3 linked regions of the Notamacropus eugenii genome follow. The protein of the gene in region 2 interacts with the protein of the main gene of each other region in a biochemical or structural test. Links are inferred from orthologs where the notes say so. Each region holds a gene or a part of one and is shown on either strand. Other genes may lie near its edges. The genes, in order: EGLN2, HIF1A and EGLN3.

Evidence for each region.
Region 1: the proteins of HIF1A (region 2) and EGLN2 form a complex in vitro, tested with the Homo sapiens proteins (3 studies listed by BioGRID, with this or other methods). The link is inferred for Notamacropus eugenii from reciprocal best matches to the Homo sapiens genes HIF1A and EGLN2.
Region 3: the proteins of HIF1A (region 2) and EGLN3 form a complex in vitro, tested with the Homo sapiens proteins (5 studies listed by BioGRID, with this or other methods). The link is inferred for Notamacropus eugenii from reciprocal best matches to the Homo sapiens genes HIF1A and EGLN3.

Annotation. Positions count from the first base shown.
Region 1 is NC_092876.1:30,872,046-30,879,580, forward strand, and holds the start of EGLN2 (prolyl hydroxylase EGLN2), read right to left. Parts: upstream 4,047-7,535; 5' UTR 3,945-4,046; intron 2,668-3,944; 5' UTR 2,444-2,667; coding exon 1,658-2,443; intron 1-1,657. Other genes in the region: RAB4B (ras-related protein Rab-4B), read right to left, coding at 6,373-6,488, 6,681-6,776. UniProt on the Homo sapiens protein: Prolyl hydroxylase that mediates hydroxylation of proline residues in target proteins, such as ATF4, IKBKB, CEP192 and HIF1A. Target proteins are preferentially recognized via a LXXLAP motif.
Region 2 is NC_092872.1:305,216,665-305,224,199, reverse strand, and holds the start of HIF1A (hypoxia-inducible factor 1-alpha), read right to left. Parts: upstream 3,523-7,535; 5' UTR 3,350-3,522; coding exon 3,279-3,349; intron 1-3,278.
Region 3 is NC_092878.1:51,263,164-51,270,698, forward strand, and holds the start of EGLN3 (prolyl hydroxylase EGLN3), read right to left. Parts: upstream 4,601-7,535; 5' UTR 4,246-4,600; coding exon 3,889-4,245; intron 1-3,888. UniProt on the Homo sapiens protein: Prolyl hydroxylase that mediates hydroxylation of proline residues in target proteins, such as PKM, TELO2, ATF4 and HIF1A. Target proteins are preferentially recognized via a LXXLAP motif.

The sequences.
Region 1 (7,535 bases), on a different chromosome or scaffold from region 2:
CCCAGCAGCTTAGACAGGGTGCTGGGCACAAACGGAGAAGGTCCCTCCTCCAGGTCACCCCCAGCCCTAGGCTGGTTGGAAGCCAAAGGTCCAGAAAGGAAAGAGTTACGAGCCTCCCAGGGCTGATCCCCTAAATGCGTCAGAGAATAGGGCCAAAGCCAATGATGGCAGGCCCCACCCACTCACAGCTCTTAAGAGAGTATCCAAGGAACCTAGGGCCCTCTGGCCCAGTTGCATCTTCCACTGGCAGCCCCAAGGCCCAATGCCCAGTCCCACCAGCGAGCAGAGGACTCAGGGGCACTGAGTCACCAGGTCAAAAGGACATGCATATGGGGGGTCAGGGAGAGGGAGGAGACAGGCAGGACACCCACAGAAAGAAGCCCAGGCCAGGCCAACCAGCATCTGTCCCTTCAATGCCCTCCCTGCTAGCCATACCAGGTCACTCTCCTGCCTCTTGAGAACTGGAGGGACACCCCGAGCCCTACCCTCAGTCTCTCCCACAGCTACTGCCCTTTCAAGCCAGGAAAAGCCCACAGATGCTGTCTCCTGGGAGCCTGGGGTGGGGGGGAAAGCCTGGGAGGGGCCAGTGGCCCATCCTATCCTGTCCTCTCCCCTCCCCCATTCCCACAGGATGCATTCTTATACCTAAGTCAAGAGAAGCCCCTCACACACACCCCCATGAGTATCTATCCTTCCCAGGCTGGGCCCCAAAAGAACCTAAGTCTAGCCCAATCATTGGACAGACAAGGAAACTGAGTCCCAAGAGGGTAAAGAATTGGCCCAAGGTCACCTGACACTTCCCGAGTCATGACTGGCACAGACTCCAAATGAGGGCCACTGAGGCCCCACCTGACAGAGGAGGCCCAGAGACTGGGAGCGAATGACTGAGGATGCACAGCTCTGGGCTGGCTCCAGGGGGCAGAGGGTGGGTTCAGCCAGGACCCACCCACCCGCTGGGGCCAGGCCAAGGGAGGGACCAGGAAGAGAGAGGAGCCTGCAAGAGCCCAGCCCAGGTAGGGGTGGGGGGCTCCAGTGGGCCAGGCCCTCCCAAGAGACAGGGCCAGGCTCCCTCCCGGTTACATAATCCCAACCCAGTCCAGGGAGAGTTACAGAGGGACAAGACCTGGAGGGAAGGAAGGAGAAAGGGAGGGGGAGAGAAAGACACAGAGAGGAGAGGGGGAGAAGGAGGGAGAAGAAGGAAGGAGGAGGAAGAATACAGGGTTAGGGGAAGAAAGATAAAGAAACAAGAAAGAAGGAGAATGAATGGGGAGGAAAGAGGGAGAGGGGAAACAGAGGCAGAGAGGGGAAGGGGAGACATCTAAGGGGAGTCAGTGAGGGCCAGACACCCATTTGCACACATGTGCACGCACACTTGCACACACACACACGCGCGCGCGCACACACACACACACACACACACACACACACACACACCGCACTCACTCTCTGTTCTGTGCTCTCTCGAAACACTAATCACAAACCCACCAGAGCAATGGTGCCCAGCTGGCTCAGCCAGGGCAGAATCTGCCTGGTGCCCACCAATCCCCCAAGGTAGCCACAGAAATAGACAAGAGCCCCAGAGCATTGGGGTTTGGAGGAAACTGAGACCCTGCAGGCTCCCATGGAGTGGTGGCCAGCCGATGGGCCCAGGCCTCACCTTGGTCCGGCCATTGATGATGTAGCTGCCCAGGCGACCAGCACAATGAAGGATCACCTCGTCCACGTGGGCCATCAGAGCCCCGATGCTCTCACAGCCAGGCTCACGACCCTCCACCCAGGCAATCTGGTCTCCCCGGATGCTACGTGAGGGGATAGCCCGCTGACTCACAAGCTGTCCATCCCGAAAGCGCCCATCTCGGTTCAATGCCTCCACCTCCGCCAACACTCGGCCACCCAAGGCTGCCCCGAGGAAGCCATCCTTCACGCAAATGCCATAGCACCGCATGCAAGGTATGATGTAGTCCACAGCCAGCCGCTCGGCGGCAGAGACCACAGCCTCCCTCTGCACCGGAGTCTCACTGCCCTCTTCCACCCAGCGCCGCTTGCTGGGCGGAGAGTCACCACCGCTCTCAGCCTGCTTCCGCTTGGGGGCTTCGGGCTGGGCTCCCCGGGCGGCAAGCAGCGGGCACTCCTTGGTGATCAGCACAGCAGCTCCCTCGCTCTGCAGGGGTCGAAGTTCCCCTCCTCCCTGCCCACTGCGCCCCTCGGGCATGGGGCTGGCTGCAGCTGAGGGGATGCCGGCTCCTGGGGGCAGAGGGCCACCCCCACTGCTGCTGGGACCAGCCAAAGCCTCGCAAGGACCAGAGAGGTGGAAGGAGGGCTGCGAAGGACAGGACACATAGCTCTCCAAGCCCATCCTGGCAAGGCTGTGCCCAGGGGTGTCCACAGTGGGCAGCTGAGGGAGATTTCTGCTCAGGAGGTCGGACTGGCATGGGCTGTCCATGGCAGCGTTTTCATCCCCCAGGCACGGAGGACACTGCCCGGGCCCATGGTGCCAGCCTCCTCCTCCTCTCACTGCAGCTGGTGATAACAGTGGCAGAGCCTGGCACAGGACTGAATGGGACTAAGCAGGCAGCTCTTCTCATAGCCCAGGAACCTGGGACATGATCCCCCGTTGTCCTTGGCCTTTGTGAGGCAGCAATGGGTCAAGCAGATGACCAACAGCGGCTAGAAAGAGAGAAAGATAGTGGGAGGTGTAAGAGGGCAGCTGCAGGAGGGAAAACCAGGGCAAGGCAGAAGGAGGTGGGGGGAACTCAAGGTCCAATGAGGAAAGTGGGGGCTGATGGTGGAAGGGGATCCCAGGACAGAAAGGGAGAAGAGGGGGAAAAGGCCTTAGCAAAGTCAGGGTGAAGAGGAAGTGGTACTGGATGGGGAGTAAGGGAGGAGCACTGAGAGGCCCAGGATGGAGGGGATGGAGAAGGGTAGAGAAGGAAGACCCCAGTCAGGAAGAGGAAAGGGAGCTGAGGGAATGCTCAAGGAGGGCAGCAGAGGGAGATGATGGGGGATCCTCCAAAGAGGAGGAAGAGGGTTGGGAGCAAAACGGGACCCAAGCCCAGGACGGGGGAGAGTAAGCAGGACCTGGGCCAGATAAGAATGGGGACACAGAGGTAGAAAGGGAGGGGGAGGGACCCGCCGAGAGGGCATCCAAGAATGCCAAAAGGGAAGGAGGAGGGGGGAGACAGCGGGCACAGCACAAGAGGGCTCCAGGGATGGAAGTAGGGCTGGGCAATCTGGGAAAGAAAAGTGGAGGACCAAGTGGCCCCCCCAGAAGAGGGATGGAAGGAACTGGGGACTGAGGGGCAGAAAAGGGAAGGACCCAGGCCTGCCAAGGACATGGACATAGGGGCTCTTGGAATGGCAGGAGAGGGCAAGCAGCCTGGGGGTCAAGAGGAGAGGAAGTGGGTGCAGTATGGGGGGCAGGGGGTAGGGGCTTGAGGAGGAAGAGGCTGGGGAAGGGAGAAGGGACCCAGGAACAGGAAGTCGGGAGGGAGGGCCTGAGGGTTGGGAAGGGGGAGCATGAACAGTCCAGGACTGGGGAGGGGGACAGGAGGGATCCTGGGGAGTCCGGGACTTCAGGGCCAAGATGGGGGCTGTAGGAGGTGAGGGAAGAGGCCAGAGGAGAGAGGGCCTGGGGGGCAGGTGGGGGAGGAGGAGGAGGGGAGAGGGGAGTCTGCGGGGGGCGAGGAGGGAAGGGGTCTGGGGTGGGGGAGGGGAGGAGGACGCGGAGGGGGAGGGGGCGGACCAGGGGAGCCCCCCCAGGCCCCGGGCCCCCTCCCCGCGGGGCTGAGCCGACACGGCAGCGGTTGGGGGCGGGGAGCTGGGGGGCAGCGGCGCGCGCCCCTCGCCTCCCCCAACGGCTGCCCCGCCCGGTCCCGAGGACCCCTCCCGCAGCCCCCCTCCGCGCGGCCGCCCCCCGCCCCGGACGCCCTCCTCCCCCCACTCACCGGGGATTTTCCTCCGGCCCCGGCGCCGCCGCCTGTGCCAGCCGCCCCGCGCAGCGCCGCGCGCCATCCCCCGCCCCCGGCCGCCCCCAGACCCCGCCCCGGGGCCCCGCCCCTGCACGTGACCGTGAGGAGCCGGCGGGGGAGGGGAGGAGAGGGCGGAGCGGGCGCGCGCGTGCGCAGGAGCCGCAGGCCGGGGGAGGGGAGGACAGAGCTGGGGACCCCTCCCCCACCCCACCTCCATCCCTGGCCCCTCCCCCAGGGACTCCCCACCCTGTTTCTCGGTCACCCTTCTCCCCTGGCCCCCAAGAGCCCTCCTCACGTCTCCCTCGGCCTCTCCCTGCCCCCCAGTGAGCCCCCAGTGTCCTCTCCCGCGGGGTCTTCTCGCTCTCCCTTCCCCTAGTCCTACAGGTCATCCTTGCCCCCTTGTCCCCCATGTTTCTTCCGATGTCCTCTTCACGGGGTCCCAGATTTCGAGCTGGAAGGAGCCCAGAAGTCAGATCGTCCAAAAGCCCTTAATTTTACACATGAGGAAACTGAGGTAGTGCAGATAGGTCACATCTGCCCCTTCCAGTCCAGCGACCCCTCCTGCCGGGGTGCGCCTCCTTCAGCGTCCCCTCTTGTTCATTCCTCTCTCCCTCGAGTCTTCAGGCCCCGCTCCCCTTTTTAGATCCCAGGGCCTGGGCTGGCCAAGGCTGCGGGTCCTTCCTCCCCACTCCCGGCCTCCAGCCCCCGCTGCCCCTTCCCAAGGAGGACACCTCCCAGAAGACGTGGGGGTGGGGGGAGCAGGACCCCAGGGTCCGAGGGAATAGTCACCTCGGTCAAGAAGTCCTCAAGTATCTATTAAGTGCCTACTAGGCGGCAGCCACCACACTCAGGCCCAAGACCCAAGAAAGGCAAAATGAGGGTCCCTGTCCTCAGGGAACTCAAGTGGAAACAGCTCAGTCCTTCTAAGATCGCATCTACAGGGAAAGGGGAGGCAGGCAACCTCGGAGCGGGGTGTGGTGAGCGGGATGTCAGCCTGCTATCCCTGGAAGGGGGATTTGCAGGACACTCTATAAATACCCCCTCCTGTGCCCTCACCCCCTTCCTTGGCAAGGCTATCCCACAGGGACAGTGACAGAGACGTGGGGTACGTGACCCAGGCAGCAGAGGGGCCAGGAGGGAGGCACACATTCCACATTCCCTCCCCACTCCCCACCCCCCAGAACAGGTGGAAGGGGACTGGGAGACTTCCAGGAACTGCCCAGGCCTGGATGCAGCGGCAGTTGGGGCTGAGATGTGGGAGACCCAGGCCTTGGGGAACCCCAGGGAGGAGACTAAGGACACCATATGCCCCTCTCTTCCCCATCCCCCATCGAGACAGGGAATTCTTCTTTCCTGAGCTGTTGGGCCTCTCCTAAAACAAGACAAGGTATTTGTCATGTGTCTGGGGAGGTAGTGGGGAATCCTTCCCCCCACCCCCAAGATTCCCGCATACCCTTTATCCCAATCTCCATTCTGCTCCTCCAACTCTACAGGCCCAACCTCCTTTCCACCCTCTGGGCTCCTGTGACCTCTCCCCTCTCTACCTCAAGTCCCTAACCTAACCTCTGAACCCCACCCATCCACCCAACCCCATCCCTCCTTTCCTAGCCCCAACCTGGGCCTGGGACCTTGCCCAGGCTCCTCTCTTCCAAGCCTCACCCCTGACCTTGGCCCCCACTCCACAGTCCTCGGACATCACCCAGGCCAGACCACCCCACCCCAGGCATGACCTCGGGCCCTGTGTATTCACCTATGTGTAGTTCTCATGCCAGCCTCCCTAAATCCCAAAATTATCATTCTAGAGTTCCCACCCCTTTTTCTGAATTTCACTGACCCCATGACTAAGGAAACTGAGACAGAGTTGGAAAAAAAAACCATCATTTTATATATCAATATATATATGTGTGCATGTGTATGTGGAAACAAACTTGATGATGGTCCCCTCCCCACCTCAATGCCCCCCCAGTCTAATAAATACCATTTACAAGGGTCAGCAGGGTCCTGGGGGTTCTGGGAGGGAAGAGACTGGCGGAGGCTCACGCCTCTGGTCCCAGAGTTTGGATAATGGAAAAGGTCATAAGGTTGGTGACAAGCCAGGTATAGCCACCCCAAGGCTCAGGGTTGTAGATGGGGGGGCATTCCCCCTAGCTCTGCCCCCAATGGCTCAGACAAGGGTCCCTCCCAGTCCCCCCTGAAGTATAGAGGGAGCCCACTCTGTGCTTAATGCTCTCTCAGAGAAACTAGGGCAGAATGGGAGACGGAGTCAAACCAGGCAAAAAAAGGGAACAGAATGGGGAAAAAGTGTTGGACGCAGATAGTCCCGGGTCCCTGATCCACAGCTTCTCTGGCATCCCGGAATGGGGGCAGATGTCCAACCCTCAAAGCCACAAGGGAGAGAGGAGACTCAGCAGCCACACTGCTGTCTGCTCTGGGCCTGAGTACCCCGGGGCTGGCGAAGTTGGCGCAAGGAGGCATCGCCATACTGGATTCCCGAACCCATTCTCTCTGGGTCCAGTTCACCTAGCGGGGAAAAGAGACAAGGGAGAGGAAGACAGGTATGGGATGTGACCCAGAGAGACAGGTCCACTGGGAGGCTGATTCTGACAGCAACAGAGAGATGCACAAAGACAGAATGGAGATAAAGAGGGCCCTGTGGGCCTCCCCAGTCCCCCACACCCACACCCACATCCCCAGCTGCCCATGGGACCTCACCCGAGTCAATCTTGTTCAGGATGGTTCGGGCACACTTGAGAAAAGCTTCCTCTACATTCTCGCCAGTTAGGGCACTGGTCTCCAGGAACATCAGCTCTGTAGGAAGCGAGCAAACATTTGACTCCAGAGGGTCAGAGTGGGAGAGGCATACTCTGCCATCCCTTAACCTCTAGAACACTGAGTATCAGAGAGGGACAGAACACATGGGGCACTTAGACCACAGAGTACTATGATGGAATAGACCCTGCCCTGCAACAACCTCTCAATACTAAATGTTACCCCAAGACAGAAGAACCCTTGGGCAGTCTAGAACAGTTTATCATGAAGTCAATGGAGCTCTTGGGGCAGCCCAGGATACAACGTTCCAAGTGGACAGAACCCATGGAGCAGGATAAACAGAACATTACATCTTAGGATATCCTAGAACACAAAATGTCCCCAGTGGATAGAGCCCGTGAGGCATCCTTAGAACACAAGAGCGTCCCAAGTGGATGGAATCCTTGGGGTATCCTTAGAACACAGAGTAACATAAATGGACCAAACCCCTGGGGATATCCTAGAACAGAGTTATGAGTAGAACTTGGGGATATCCTAGAACACAAGACTGTCCCAAGTAGATGGAACCATTAGGGCAGGCTTAAGATAGAGACTATCATAAGTGGACAGAGCCTTTAGGATATCCTAGAACACAGTGTCATGAGTAGAATTCTTGGGGCAGACTTAGAACAGGGAGCATCCCAAGTGGACAAAGCTCTTGGGATAACCTTGATACACAGCGTATTGCCCAGACACATAGCTCTCGGGGCAGCTGGAGTCTCCTGGTCCGGGTAGGTGGCTGCTTCCTGTCCCAACCCA
Region 2 (7,535 bases):
AAGTGTAGAGCACAAGGTAATAACCAGATCCAGATTGTGGAAGGTTTTTAAACACTAGAGAAAACACTGCATTAATATCAATGATGGTATTTTTTAATAACAATAGTTATGCCTGTGTCTTTCTACTGAGAGTAATCTGACTCATAAAGTCTGACTTTAACTAGATAAAACCAGACTGAGCTGGTTTTCCCATCTTTAGTTAGTACTCTTGTGAGTTCAGTGCTGAATTTCATGACAAACATACGTTTCATTGATCTATTTTGTTGTCTTAAATTCTGTGATCTTTAAAAATAGTTATTTCTCCAGAGAAATGTGCAAAAGTTATAGGTATTAAAGAGCACACTTAATGACTATTAGATATTATTGCTGTGAAAGTCTCATTAATCCTTACAAAATATGTTCAGAAGGACCTGGCAGGCTAAGTTGTTGATTTCTCTTAAGTGCTGTCTAAGCTTTCTAAAGTTAGAAGTAAAAGACTAGTAAAAATTAGCTATTAACCATTACTAAAGGAACTGTCATGTGTAAGGCAATATAAAGACAAGAGTACTAAAAAATGGGAAAAGGTAATTTTTACTGATGAAACTCAAATTTTCATTCAAGTCTATACCAAGACAAATCCAAATGTACCTGGAAGATCTGGGCATCTTCATCATACTGTAAAACATGCACTCAAAAAATGTTTGAGGTTTTTTACTTACAAAGAGAAGATAATGATGAGCCTCTTGATATATGTTGTTAAACTGAATTATTCTAGGATTACAGAAATTCTCAAATGGAGATGAACAAACACTACAACACAATAGTGCACCATGTCACAAAAGATTAAGAAATCTGTCCAAGAGATGGAAATATGTATGTGTCAGTGGCCCTGAAACTTGTCTAACTTAAATTTCAATGAAACTCTATAGGCTATCTGTTTATCAAAGTTATGCTTAATATATCTAGTATGTTAAGTGCACTTCCATGATGAAAATTTAAAGAATATGTGTCAAAATCTTATGAACTCAATTCCAGGTCCTGTAAAACAAGTAAATGACTAAAGAAAAATAATATGTTGCACTAATTTTTTTAAAGATGTAAAAAATTGGGAGGTTTATTGTTACTGAATGAGTCAACCAATTTAATTTGATTCAACTGCTAAGCACACCATTTTGTGTGTGGAGAGAAATGACTATATTTAGCAAAGATTGCTTTATATTTCGTCTATTCCATAACTTTGGTGAAATTAAAATATTTTAAAAGGTTAAGTGACTTGCCCAAGGCTGGGATTTGAATCCAGATTCTATGATATTTTTATTTATTCTGGTACAAATGTCAGGTATTTTGCTATTAACTAGTGAATTTTCCTCCCAAACTACTTTGTATGCATTTTGTATATATTATACAAATACTTTTAAAAATGTGTTTGTTGTCTTCTTTATAAAAAGGTAAGCTCTTCAAGGGCAGGGGCTATTTCACTTTTGTCTTTGTATCCTCAGCACTTAGCATAATAGCTGGAACATGGTGAGGCTTAATAAATGCATTGCTGATGGACCAAAAAGCCAACTATTGGAAGAAAAAGACCCAGTCTGAGAGAAACAAACTAAACCCTAGTGTATACCATACTACTGTTAAAAAACTAACAATTCAAGAATGCATTATTAGTAGAAAAATAGAAAAAGCATCAATTCTGTTCCATTACATACTTGGTAAGTTCTTTTTAGGGTTCTGAGTCTTGTTTTGAATTTCATATTTTTCAGGTGATGATGCTGTATCAAATTCAGAGAATAAAAGCATTCATAAGGACCTTTAAGGAAGTTAAAAAAGTTGAAACTATAGCAAACTCTTAGGGGTGACAGCAAACTGAAGTATATAAAACTATACTAAAACTTTCCATTTCTAATGAAGGACAAGAAGAAACAGGTTTAAAATGCAGCAATAAAGCATTTTATTTCAAGAAACATTAAGAATCTTGACTTATGAGAAGCAACAAAGGTGTGCCATGGATCCCTTTAGCAGACGAACTTTATGAACCCTTTCTCAGAATATTTTTAAATTCATGAAATAAAATGCATACTTTACAGAGGAAAACAATGGTTACTGAAAATAAATGATTTCCTCCTATGAAAGTTTACAGACCCACTGAAATGTATGCACAGAACCAAGGGAGTCCAGATTAAGAAAACTTGTTCTAGAACATTATGGACTTCCTATCCACAAAGATATTTATGACACTGGACATGTACTTTAGAAAGTCTGGATGTGGTAATCTGCCTAAGAGAGAGGACTAAACAAGTTGACTTCTTAAGATCTTCTCCAAGTCTATTAGACCAAGCTATGCTAAGAATGTTAAAAAAGAGTAGCACAAAACCCAGACTGAGGGAGTAGCAATAACGTCCCATGCATAGTTATATTTTATATGACTGGATTCTTCATTTAACTTGCAATACAAATACAGAATGGTTCTTGCTCAAGTACCTCAATATGCAAAAATTACTAGCTTTCAAAAAGAAACTTCTACATTCAACAATATTTTTTTTAGTCCCTAATATATGGAAGTCACTTTTCTAGGGATGGAGGACACAAAGGCAAAAAAAAGTCATTAACAGTCATAAGAATCCCAGTTCAAATGAGTGGACCCATATACCATTCATGATGTCATAATATTAATACTGGTTGTTGGAACAAAAGTGTAATGGAGTATACTATTACTTGCAAAGGGGAAGTGTGTAACTTTGCTTAATGCACCTTCACGTACAAAATTAATGTAAATTACAATCAGAATATCAAGTTATTCTCTAAGCTGAGATGTACAATCCAATTCGGGCAAAAGCTTTATAATTATTTCTATGAAATTAATAGCAATTCATTCCTGCTAACTTCTATAACAGCCTCTGTGTTAATTTCTCATAGGGTCATAGACCTAGATTAGAGCTGGACAGGAACGTTAGAAGCTACCTAGTCCAGTCCCCTCATTTTACAGAGAAGGAAACTAACTTTTTAATTAACTTTTTTACACTGTAAAAATGTTAAATAATTTTATCTACACCTTATTTACCTTCCTCAAAAGTTTCTACTTCAAATGGGCCAAGATAACATTTCCAAAAAACATGATAATATGAAACAAACATATCGTTTTCAGATAGAGACTGGAAGGGCTAATCATTAAATAAAGACCAGTTTACCAAAACGGAACACCAACATAATTTCAATGTTTTACAAAGTTTCCTTCTAGAATCCACACACGACACAAGACAAAATTTCTTCAACTAGGAAATTACATTTTGGAGTTAACGTACCTGGGTTCAAAATCATTCCAAGGCCTTAAATATGTGTATTTTAAAACTCTTTGACTCTTCTTAAAGTTCATAATGTTTCCTACCTACACCTTTAAAGAAGTTCCATGAAAACAGCTACTTCCTTCTGACATTTTCTTAAAGATTTTAACACAACGAGAGCCGGGCCAGAAAATGGGCAAAGCCAACAATTCTCAGACCTTGCCAGCTTCTGCTGTATTTGCGTCGCGCTTTGGTCACTTCGGACGTTTACCTATCCACTCAATCTCCCTTAACGTACTTCAGGAAGTCAAATCTATCTGCTACACCTAGACTCTCCCTTGGCACTGGCTACCAATACAAAAGGACAATTTTGGGTGTTCTCCGTAAATGCCGCTAGCGTCTCACTCTTCCCTTGGCACGTCGCGCTTCATAAGTGCCAGCCGAGCACCCCCAATCTGACAAAACACAAAGCTGAGAAGAGAATTGATCGCTTGGGGAGGGGGCCTCCAGATTGAACAACAACACGATCGCAATTCGCTGCCTGACTCACGGCCCGGCAGGACACAATCACAGAACACGGACACCACATTACCACGGGGTGCAGAACCTGAGGCCCGGGAGGGAATTACAGGGCTCAGCCGGGTCAAACTGCAGCTCCCCTCCCCCGGAGGGGTTTTCAATAGAATCGAGGGAGAGTAAACGGAGGAAGGAGGGAGGGAGGGAGCCTCGTCCGGGGGCAGAGCGTGCTGACCCGGAGGGAGCCAAAGCAGCTTGATTTTCCAAGGCTGGATTTCCAGGCTGGGGTCGCAAGGGGAGGGGGCGATCGGGAGGAGGGAAGTGCGCGCGCGCCCGCGCGGTGGCTGCCGGGGGAGGGGACCAGGGGCGAAGTCGTCCCGGACTCCCACTTTCAATGGCTCTCCAACCCCCCACACCAAGATGGCGACGTGGACAGTAAGGGGGGGAGGCCGAGTGAGGAAGGGGGGGTAGGGAGAAATGAATAGAAGCGGCCCCCTCCCCCCTGCACTCCTCCATCTACATCTCTCCTTCCCCGCCTCCGCCCCCCCCCCACCCGGCGGCGCGTGGTGGGCTTTAGGGGCGCCAGGCGGCGAGATCCCCCTTTACTTACTTTTTCTTGTCGTTCGCACCCTCGGCGCCCTCCATGGCTAAGCGCCCCCGCCACCAGGCGCTTCCTCGGCCCGGTCCGCTCCGGTTTAAGCTCCGGCTTCTCACACACGAGGCACAGGGGGGAGAGAACGAAGGGGGATGGAGAGGGTAGAGAGGCGATCCCGAGGCGGCGGTTAAAAAGGGGAAGGACACACGCGGTCCCCGGCCCCACCACCACCACCTCCCTCCAGGAAAAAGGAACCCAGAACGTTCCGGAGGACGGGAGAGTCCGGACAATCCTAGGGGTTCGAGTCTAGCTCTCTCTGTCTCCGGTTTCTGTCAGCGCGGCCTGGCCCGGCGCGCAGCAGCGCCGATTCTCGGCTTCCCTCCTCTTTCCACAGAGGCAGCTCTGAGGGCTCGGGAGGCGGAGGCTGAGGGAGGACCGGAGGCTGAGGGGGGGGGGAGAGTGGGCAGGGAGCAAAGCCGCGAGCGCGCGCGCGCGCCAGTAAGGAGGAGTGGGTGGGGGGAAGAGTAAAAAGAAGGAAGGAAAAAGGGGGCGGGGGGAATCCCGAGGAACGCGCAGGCGCATACCCGCCTCACCTGAGGGGGAGGCCGGTTCCCCAAGCACCAATGGGAAGCTCCCGAGCCGGCCTATCCCCACCCCAGCCCTCGCCGTCCTAGGCCAATCGGCTGGTGGTCAGCTGGAGGCACAGCTGAGATGTCCTGCTTGGCTTGTGATGCAGCTGGGGGACTGGTGGGAAGAGGAGGGAGAAAAAGACCTGGGGTGGCTGCGGGACCCAGCCTCGCCGGCCGTTGTCTTTTCTTTTTCCTAGCTGCTAGGGGCGGGATTTCGCTAGCCCGGGCTGCTGAAAAGGATCTCAGGCGTCGGGTACTAGGCCGACGTTGCATTTTCAGGGGCAACATTCCTCCATCCTGTATCGTGTGGCTTCTTGTCCCTTTCTCCACGCACCCTTCCTGAAAAGCAGCCTTGTAATGTCCCACGACTGAGGGCTATTTACCCTGTTGTTTTTTAATGCATTATTACGGTTTCCTTCAGCTATAGGCTTAGTCCCTTTTGCTAATCCACAAAATGCTAGTACTAGTACCCTATACTTGGCATGGAATACGGTGGAATTGTCTCCTTAACCCCAAATGTTAGGATCTAGGTTTTCGTTACAATATAAAGGCAAAAACAAACAAACAAAAACTTTAGGCAAAATCGCAAAAGAAAACAGTAGAAAGTTGCACTAAGAATGGACAAGATATTCTTACTTTTTATGTATGTAAAAACTGCTTTATGTAAGTTTTCATTCTACTTTAACACAGGGAAAATGATAAGGAACTTGAATGTTGCAAGAAGGAAGAATTAACTATGGTTGTTTGGTACCGTAAAAATATTTATTTTTTGGTTTGTTTCATGCCTCCATTAAGGGAGAATCTTAGTTGAGTTATGAGATTGGGCAAGATTCCCCCACCCTCTTTCCCTCTGGTTTCAGGTTTAATTGTTTACAGTTCGATTCACATAGAAGCCGGAAAGCTATAAAGTCTTACTCTAATCGTTCAACCCAAAAGCATTCTTAAGCACTTTTTATGTGCCCTCCCATGGAACCGGCATAGTTCCACTAAACCAAAAATCAACATAACATTGCCTTAGTCACTAATTCTCCTTTGCTAATGTATCATGGATGCTACTTAGTATATTAATTATGGTGCTTTAATGGTTAAAAAAAAAGGTAGAAAACATACCTCATCAATGTGATGGAAAGAAAATTGGACTGGAAGAACTGTGTCCTACTCCTACATTAGTAGCCACTTGCCTCTGTTTCAGCTTCAGTTTCCTTATCGGCCAACATGTTGGAATACAGAATCCTGTAAGGGCCTATCCAGTTCTGACATTTTGTGATCTCTTTTTACTTTGAAATCATGTTTCAGTCCTATTCTTTTTCATCTGTCACAGGTACCCTTTTCCCTCCTTAAATCAATAAACATGTTCTGAATGTGCATCCTTAATTTATGTGATGTTTTTGTCACCCTTCAGTGTATTATTTCAACAATGGGGGTGGGATATGCAAATATGGAAGTTACAATGTCTCACCCTCAAGGATACATAAAAATAAGAGTCTAAATGAAAAAAACATGTAACTGTGATCAGTTAACCAATATATACGTATACATATATGTATGTATATATGGGATATGTCTACTTTAATAATTTAATTAGAGTAATGAGAGGTTGAAAATTAATAAAGACTGGATTTTTTTTTTTACAAAGCTACTATCTCTTATTTTTGTACAATCATATAGCTATAAGGAGGTGTCTAAAAACTAGATAGTGTACATCTTGCAAAATGGCAAGAGGACAATACTGGTAATTTTACACACTGATATACATTCCTCTTAGTTTATTTAAATCAGTCATTTGTTCCTTAGCTAATGATAACTGGGGGCTCTAATAAAATTAGCCAATTCAGTAACCTAGAGTGATTACAATGTGGTTGCTTTTGGATACTTATTGTTCATCCTCTGTAGCCAGTGACTGACTATACATACATTTACGTGTGATCAAACCATTTCAAAATAAAACCATTGTTATAATAGCAAATTGACGTCATTCTTAAGAACCATCAACAGTGGCTTTTTATTTTTTACCTAAAACTAAATCACAAACCTTCTAGCAATTCAATCAACAGGAGGTAAAACTTTGAAAGTCCTAAAAGTGCCTCAAAATTCAGTTTTTCATTGGAAGAGATATCTAAAAAGTAATTTAAAAGCTACCAAGAAGACACACTCCCTGCGATGAATTATAGAATTATTTTTCCTCAATCACATATAACTCTATTAAACTGGATCACTACTTCAGAAGCATAGGTCTCAGCTAACCACTTTTCCTAGCTTTTTTAAGTATCCAAGTTTCACTCAACTCACATTAGCAATAGTTCCTAAGTAAACTTTGGGATTACTTATAAATGACTATTTAGCCCATAACTTTTATAGTAATAAAGGTTGGGTGGTGACTCAGAAGTAAACAAGGTAAAACCTGAAGTCTATATTGTTACCAGAAGATAAGAAGCATCTAACTCCTTTAAAAAAAAAAAAAAGAACCTTGTGAAATTCATCTTATTACAAATTGTTACAATATTTAAGAAGCTACCATGACCAATAAGCAATAACTGG
Region 3 (7,535 bases), on a different chromosome or scaffold from region 2:
CTTGATGTCCTCAAACACATGACGGTCTGAGGCTACTCCAGTTAAGGCTATTTGTGATCAACTCAGTTAATAAGTGGATTTTCTAAAAATAGTAATGGGAAACACTAAAGCCTTTGAGTTTTCCAAGAACTCAGAATCAGCTTCTACAGTCATTTAAGGGAAAGGCTTGGCAATCAGTGAAATGTGAATTAGAATTGGGCTTACGGTTCAAAAATATATATGAAAATACATAACACATATACATAAGAACATATATATGAATGTTTGTATGTATACACACATGTATGTATACGTGTGTGTCTGTGTGTATAAATATATATGTATATGTATATGTATATATCCATTCTTGTGAGTTAGTGACATTTTTACCTGGTGAGTTACTGTAAAAAATCTAACTAGCTGTTGACTATTGCTGAGCAAGAGAACTCCTGGTTCTATAAATTACAATCCCAGTGGAAAATAAATCCCTGTTCCGTAAGATTTATGCAGTCAAGTAAAAGGAGAAAGTAGTGACCAATATTTGTCTTGGAGATTTCCTACATTCCTGAAAAAGGAGGGAGCAGTCTTGTAAACGAATACAGGGAGGGTCTCTAAGCAAGGACCACACTTGAAGTTAGGGGGCGCCATGCTGCTGCACATGGCAAAGAAATTACAACCAAGAGACTTCCCCAAAGACTCCTTAATTAAGAACCTGAAGATATGTTTCCAACAAGTTCAACTGCCAAGGTCAATTCAGCCCAGGTAACTTAATGAAGGGTTCTCTTAAAATCTCAGCAGCCCCTCATTTCTTCAGCAACTGAACTCTGACCAATATTTCTCCTTTTCAGCCTGGCGTTTAGACAAACTTACAATTTGATGGCTTTTGCTCCTTCGCAAGACTCATTAAAAGTAAGAAAAGTATTATTCATATGTTCAAACAAATAAATACATACCTCAGCTTTAAGAACAGTAGGAAACCTAAAATAGATTTAGCAGATTCTGCCTTATGTTTGATTAGGTTTCCATGCCTAGGATAGAGTACTCTCCATACTGGAGATGGAGGGAAATAAGTAAAGGACAGGAAAGGAAGACAAACAGGCAAAGTTAAGAAAATTCCTCGAAAGAAAATGGTTTCCTTTCTACCAAAATTTACTAAATGAGGAACTGGATACCACCTCTGTCTCTCTAATCCAAGAGCGCTAAAGAGGTTTCTTTATATGACCCTATGTCTTCTCTTCTTCTGATAGAGCTTTTTTCACTAGAGATGTGAATATACACACATTCTAATTGGTTCGAGAATATTTTGCCTTACTTTTTCTATTAATCATACATTTGGAGAATGAAGAGCTACATATTAGGACAGCAGATGAGAATCTATATTCTGGACAAAGGTAGGCTGCCTTGTGAGAAACCTCCTAAATTCCACTTGTTAGAATGGACATCAGTATCAAATTTCCTTGCTTCAATTTCAAAAAGCATTCATTCAACAAAAATCTACCAACACTAAGTTGTGAAACATTGAGTGGGGTGGAGTGGGTGAGTGTGAAAGCATGGAGGGAGGGCCCTAGGAGAGGGTGAAAAGACAAATAAGACAAGTATTTGAGGGATCCACCCAGTAAAAACTTTAAAATCCACTTACATTTTGGATGAGTTACATTTAATTAAGTTATTCCGATCGTGGAAGGATATCACACCAATATGGGATAAAACCATCAAATCCTGATGGGACCAAATTTTCTTGCCCTGGATGGGTTTCAGATTCTTTCCATTAAAATTTTACCCTTAAACTTTTAGGGTTGAAAGACAGGCCTTGCAAAAACAGAGTGGTCCAGTGGAAAGGATACTTGATTTGATTCAGGACCTGGGTTGGGTTCCTTTTTTGAGGGAGGTGGGGGGTGGGGGGGATTAGTATACATACACCACCCCCTCCTCCCTTAGCATAGCGCCTGGTACATAGCAGACACAATTAATGCTTGTTGACTTAAATGGTAACTATGAGAACTCAGGCAAGTCACTTTATCCTCTCTGTAAAAGGAAGGACTGAGTAGGGATGATCCACAATCCCCTATAGGTGGGTCAGGCTGCTGCTCATAAAGAAGCTAAAACTTGGAGAGGTTTAAATGGAATGATGGATCTCCTTAGTGATTACTTACTCTTTACTACCTCAAAGCTATTTTTTTCAGTGTCCACAAGAAGCATTTATTTCAAACTTTGTATAATCTTGCTTTGAAAGAACTTTAGGCATCTTGAGTGTCCTTCAAAATTGGACCAGAAAGTCTAGTATCTTAATTAATTAAAATGACTTCCTGAGCGTTTAATAAATGCCTCTTGGCAGACTTCAAGAATTCTGTGAAGGTAATGCAATTTTCCCCAAGTTAAAAGCAGATGTTTAGGGGTTTGGTTTTGTCTTTAAATAATTTGAACTCCTCTTAGAGAAATCTTCTAATTTCCTCCAAATTTTCTATTCCAAACCTCCTCACAACCAAATATTTATAAAGCACAGGACACTTCATTAATTAATTAATACTTGTCTCTTTCTTCCTCCCTCCTTCACTTCTCCGAGGACTCAATTCTACATCTTAGCTATTTGTCCTTTATTTTTTGTCTTAACAGAACTCATCTCAGATCATGGGCCAAGGGATGGCAGTGGTTTGTTTTATCACAGAATCAGTCTTGAACTGTGAAAAATACTTTATTTCCCCCTCAAATAATACATAGATGACTCTTCTGGTACCTGATGGCCAGCTTGCTTTCCTCTGTGCCCCTCAGGTTTTTAAAAGGTACTTATGCTCATCTACCCCTCAGCCTCCCTTAGGATAAAAGAAAATGTAGAGTCACTTGGAGCTGTTACCGGAAACAACCTGGGCTGAACCAATAAACACCTGAAGACAGATTGTCTGCAAGTCCCTCCAAGTCTGTAGACAAATAGCACAGATACTACAGTTAAGGTAACTTTCCCACCTTTGCAGAGATGCTGCCAATATACAACGTAAGCACATCTAAGAAATTACCCTCAAGAAGAGTCTCTTGAGGGATAGGTGAACTGAAACCTCTTTTCCTTCCAAAAGTCCTAGACTACTCTCTCACCAACTATTTACTGCTACAGAAGGGCCTGGCTGAAGGTAGCAAGGAAAGATCTTCACAAGCAACAAATTAGATCAACCCTACCTGGGGCCAAAGGGCCAAACGCACCGACCGAAACAGAGAGAGGGAAAGAGCTTACACCTTGCACAAGCTGCCGTCCACAACTATGGGTCCCCAAAGACAGTGTATTTGGAGACACACCAGAGCAACAGGTATGGGGGGGACTACGGGATGACTAAACAAGAACAAAGCTACACCTATTCCGAAATCTTTAAGACGTGTCCAATGCTAACTTCATCTGTCTAGTCCACTGGTTCTCAGTATCAAATTATCACCAAACTATACAGAAACCAAGGTTGATTAGTTTTTTACCAGCAATGAAAGAAGTTCCTTCAAAGACAGTGCTGCTGATCACAACTTTAGAACAGGAAAAGACCTCAGAGGACATCTAGGAAAAACACCTTCATTTTACACGTTAAGGAAATTGAGGCTCGGAGGAGGGAAAATGACTTGTCCAAGAACGCACAAATGCTAAGTGGCAGAAGCCGGAATTAGGTTCCTAAATCCAACGTTCACTCCACTGTACCACACTATCCGTGGGGCTAATTCATTTAAAATTAAGTGTCCGCTAAAGTAGCCTCGGTCCAAGTCTTTAACCCAAACCACTATTTTTTTTGTATTATTTTTGTTTTAACCCAAACTAGTCTTCTCTGTATAAACATTTTGGGGGAAAGTTTCTTGCCAACGTGAGTGGTGTGCTTAACTTAGCGATCGGTCAGGGCGCCGCTCTTCCCAGTCCCCAATTGAAAGTAACAGCGCCCTTACCTTGGACCTTTCTTTGACATAGTATTTGCCCAGGCGGCTTCCACAGTACAAAACCAGCCGGTCGATCAGGGACAGGAGGAAGCTGATGGCTTCGCAGCCTTCTTCGTTGCCCCCGATCCAGGTTATCTGGTCTCCCCGCAAGTGCCTCTTGGAGATCCCGGAGCGGGGTCCAGCCAGCTGGCCGTCCTGCAGGTCCCCGTTACAGTGCAGCTGCTTCACGCGCTCCAGGACGCAGTCACCTACCACTTCGCCCAGGAAATTGTCCAGGTAGCAGAAGCCGATGTCATGCAGGCAGGGCACGATGTATTCTAGGGCGATCTTCTCCAGATCCAGGTGCATGATGTGTCCCAGGGGCATCGTGACTTCCGAGCGGAGGGGAGCCGAGGGGGCCCCAGCCTGGGTGACTGGAGGAGGCGTGTGAGCGACTTTGGGAGACAGACACCCAGCTTGAGGCCCCCGGGGTGCCAGGGCTCCTGCCCCTCGAGATCGGGGGTGGGGGAGACGGCGCCGCACCGGCAGCTCCGGGGGGCACCCAGCGCACCACTCTTTGAGTGGAGTCCACTTAACAAAAGCACCGTCCGAGCTCCGCAGGAGTTTGCGCGGGGCTCATCGACCCAGGACTGGACTGGCCCAGCGTGGAGACTTAGAGGGAACCCCTTTTTGGAGCGCCAGCCAAAGTGACTGCGGACTAGACAAGGACTCCGGGGCAGAGTATCCGTCCCCGCCCCGCCCCGCCCCTTACCGGGCCACCCAAACTCCGCAGGACGTCACCAGGTCCCGCCCCTAACTGGGCAACACTCACACCCCCGGACATCAGGAGGCCCGCCCCTGGCTGCAAATGCCCAGAGGTCAGCGTGCTAGAGGACACCGCCCCCCTCGCGCCTTTATAAACGGGCGGGACAGATGGGTTCTCTTAGAACTTGCTGGCGTTGTTTTCATTTTCTCTTTTGTTCCTTTATTATTTTCTTTTTTTCAGGTTTAGGAGTAGGGCTGACCGATTGCATGTCTGTACTGTTTGACAGGGGGATGTCAAGTCTGCATGCTACTGATTCGCTCTTTTGTTTGTTTTTCCATAAATTTTCATAAGCTTGAGCAGTTTAATCTGAAAGCTCTTCTACCAAGTTCTCCATCTATATTAAATCCCGGCGTAATGCCTACCAGGATTTCAAAAACCGAATCAAGTAGATGACCCGGTGGACCCAGGGGCTTGACCTGTTCCCAAATCAGCCTTAAATACTTAGTAGCCCTGGGCAAGTCACTTAAACTGTCCTCAACAACTGTCCAGTTGAGGACAATAATAGCACCCACCTGTCAGGGTTTTTATAAGGATCAGATGAGATAATATGTGGAAGGTGCTTTGCAAACCTTAGAGCACCGTACAAATAGGAACTATTATTAAATCATATTTTCTCTTAGAAAACACAGATTCATTAATTCATTGACCAACCAAGATTTCCCAGGCAAGTTACCCAGACAGGGGTGTTGTACTCCGGGTGCAGATGGAAACATATTTTGGGGCATTTGGTTAGGGTTTTTGTTTTACTTGTTACTTTTTGTCTTTCGTTGGTTGGGGGGGGGGGGGATGGAAAAGAGACAAAATAAATGCTAGATAATTTAAAAATAAAATTTTAAAAATAAAGCAAGAAAGGCAAAGAAGAAAGGAAAGACAGAAAGAGAGATAGAAAATGAAAAGAAAACTCTTCCATAATGAGTTAATCAGCAAATATTTATCGACTGCCCATTACTTGCAAGACGTGCTGCGAGGCAGGAGAGTTTGAGCTAGAAAAATGTTTGCCTTGGCATGATATGTGTCAGTGTAATTATGCCCCAGCTCCTGCTTTGTTGTTATTATGGTTGTATCTTAATAGCCAGGTGAACTATACCCTAGGGATGGGCTTAACCAAACAAGTAAAATTTCAGTTATCTATAGATTAAACAGTTCAGTTCAATGGATTGTACATTCTTTTTCCTTCTTTACGTTGCTGACTAGAATTGAAAGGGGGGAAAACACACCTAACTTGCATAATTGTTTTCCAATAATATCTATATAAAATAGGCATCGGTGATGTTTTCTTTCCTATTTGAATCTAACAAGAAAAAATGTTGTCTTGAAAGGTACACTGAGAAGATAGAAGGCTGGACGGTGGAGTCTGTAGGACCTGAGTTAAAATCAGGACTCATATACTTAGGAGCTATATGGCCCAGGGCAAGTCACTTAACCTCTGTCTGTCTCAGTTTATTTATTTGTAAAAAGGAAATAATAATAATGATAGCACCTAACTCTGAGGTGGTTATGATGGAAATACTTGTAAAATGCTCTGCAAACCTTAAAACATTACGTAAATGCCAGCTATTAAGGATACTATGGAGTTGGGAAGACCCGACTTTGAATTGATCCCAGAATATAGAATATAATGTCATTGAATCTCTAGTCCTCAGTTTCCTCATTTGTAAACTGGGGTTGATAAAAATCTATATCACTGTTTTCAGAGTTGTAAGAATCAAATTTTATATTAAAATAAAAATAAAATATTCAAAATATAAAATAAAATTATATTAAAATAAAATATATTAAATTTACATTACATAAATAGCCTAGAGGAGGCATCCAGGGATAGAGAGCTGGCCCATGAGTCAGGAAGATGTGGGTACAAGTCTTGTCTCTGTCATATACCAGCCTCGTGACTTTGAGCAAGTTGCTGAAATTCTTAGTGGTCTAGGCCCTTATGTCATTCTCAAACAAAAGTGCAGCCACTAATCCATACATAAGGATTCCTGCAAGCTGCATATTGAATTAGTTTTAAAGTGTAACATTATCTATGTTTTATTGTAGTGTTACTTACCTTGTTAAATATTTCCCAATTACATTTTAATCTGTTTCTAGCCTACATGGGAGTGTTAGATGTCACCCATGAGTTCACTGAAACAGCTAACGAAGGTTTCCCAGCAAGTCCCTAGTTCCAAACTTTAAAAATATTTCAGAAAGCCTAGACTATGTTGCTCTAATTAAAGAAATAAGCTCCAAGCAAAACTCTGAAGTACAAAGGGGGAGCTAACCTCAAAAGTTCTTCTTTCTCATCAGAAGCATAAGCCAGTCTTTCCAACATGGAATTGTGCAATTTTAAAGCTTTTAAGTTGCCTAGTTATTACTCTGCATGGGAGCTCTGTACTTGTTAACTAACAAGTTGTTTGTAATCTTCCTAGCTTTTCCTGCCCAGCTCTAGTTTATGAGATTAGTTTCATAAATGATTAAAGAGCAAGATAATATACGCCCAAAATGTTGCATCTGAGAGAGAACAAAGAGAAAATGGTGGTACAAAGGTAAGGTATTAACACAAAGGAGGCGTCTTCGAATTCCTTTTACATCCAAGATCAATGTCCAAAGCATACTTCTTCCAAGACAGAGTGCTGGACTTCAGTAACGAAGTTCTGAATCTGAATCTTACCTCCAACATATGCTAGCTATATGACCTTGGACAAATTATTTAATCTCTCAGTGCCCCAGTTTTCCCATTTATTAAATGAGATGGTTGGACTTGGGGATGCCCTTCCTACTCTAAAATCTAAGATATACAATCCTATTCCCTCCACTTCCTGAATTTGGTAGATTACAAAGGAAATCAATCAGTTTTAAGAATTAGCCCTGA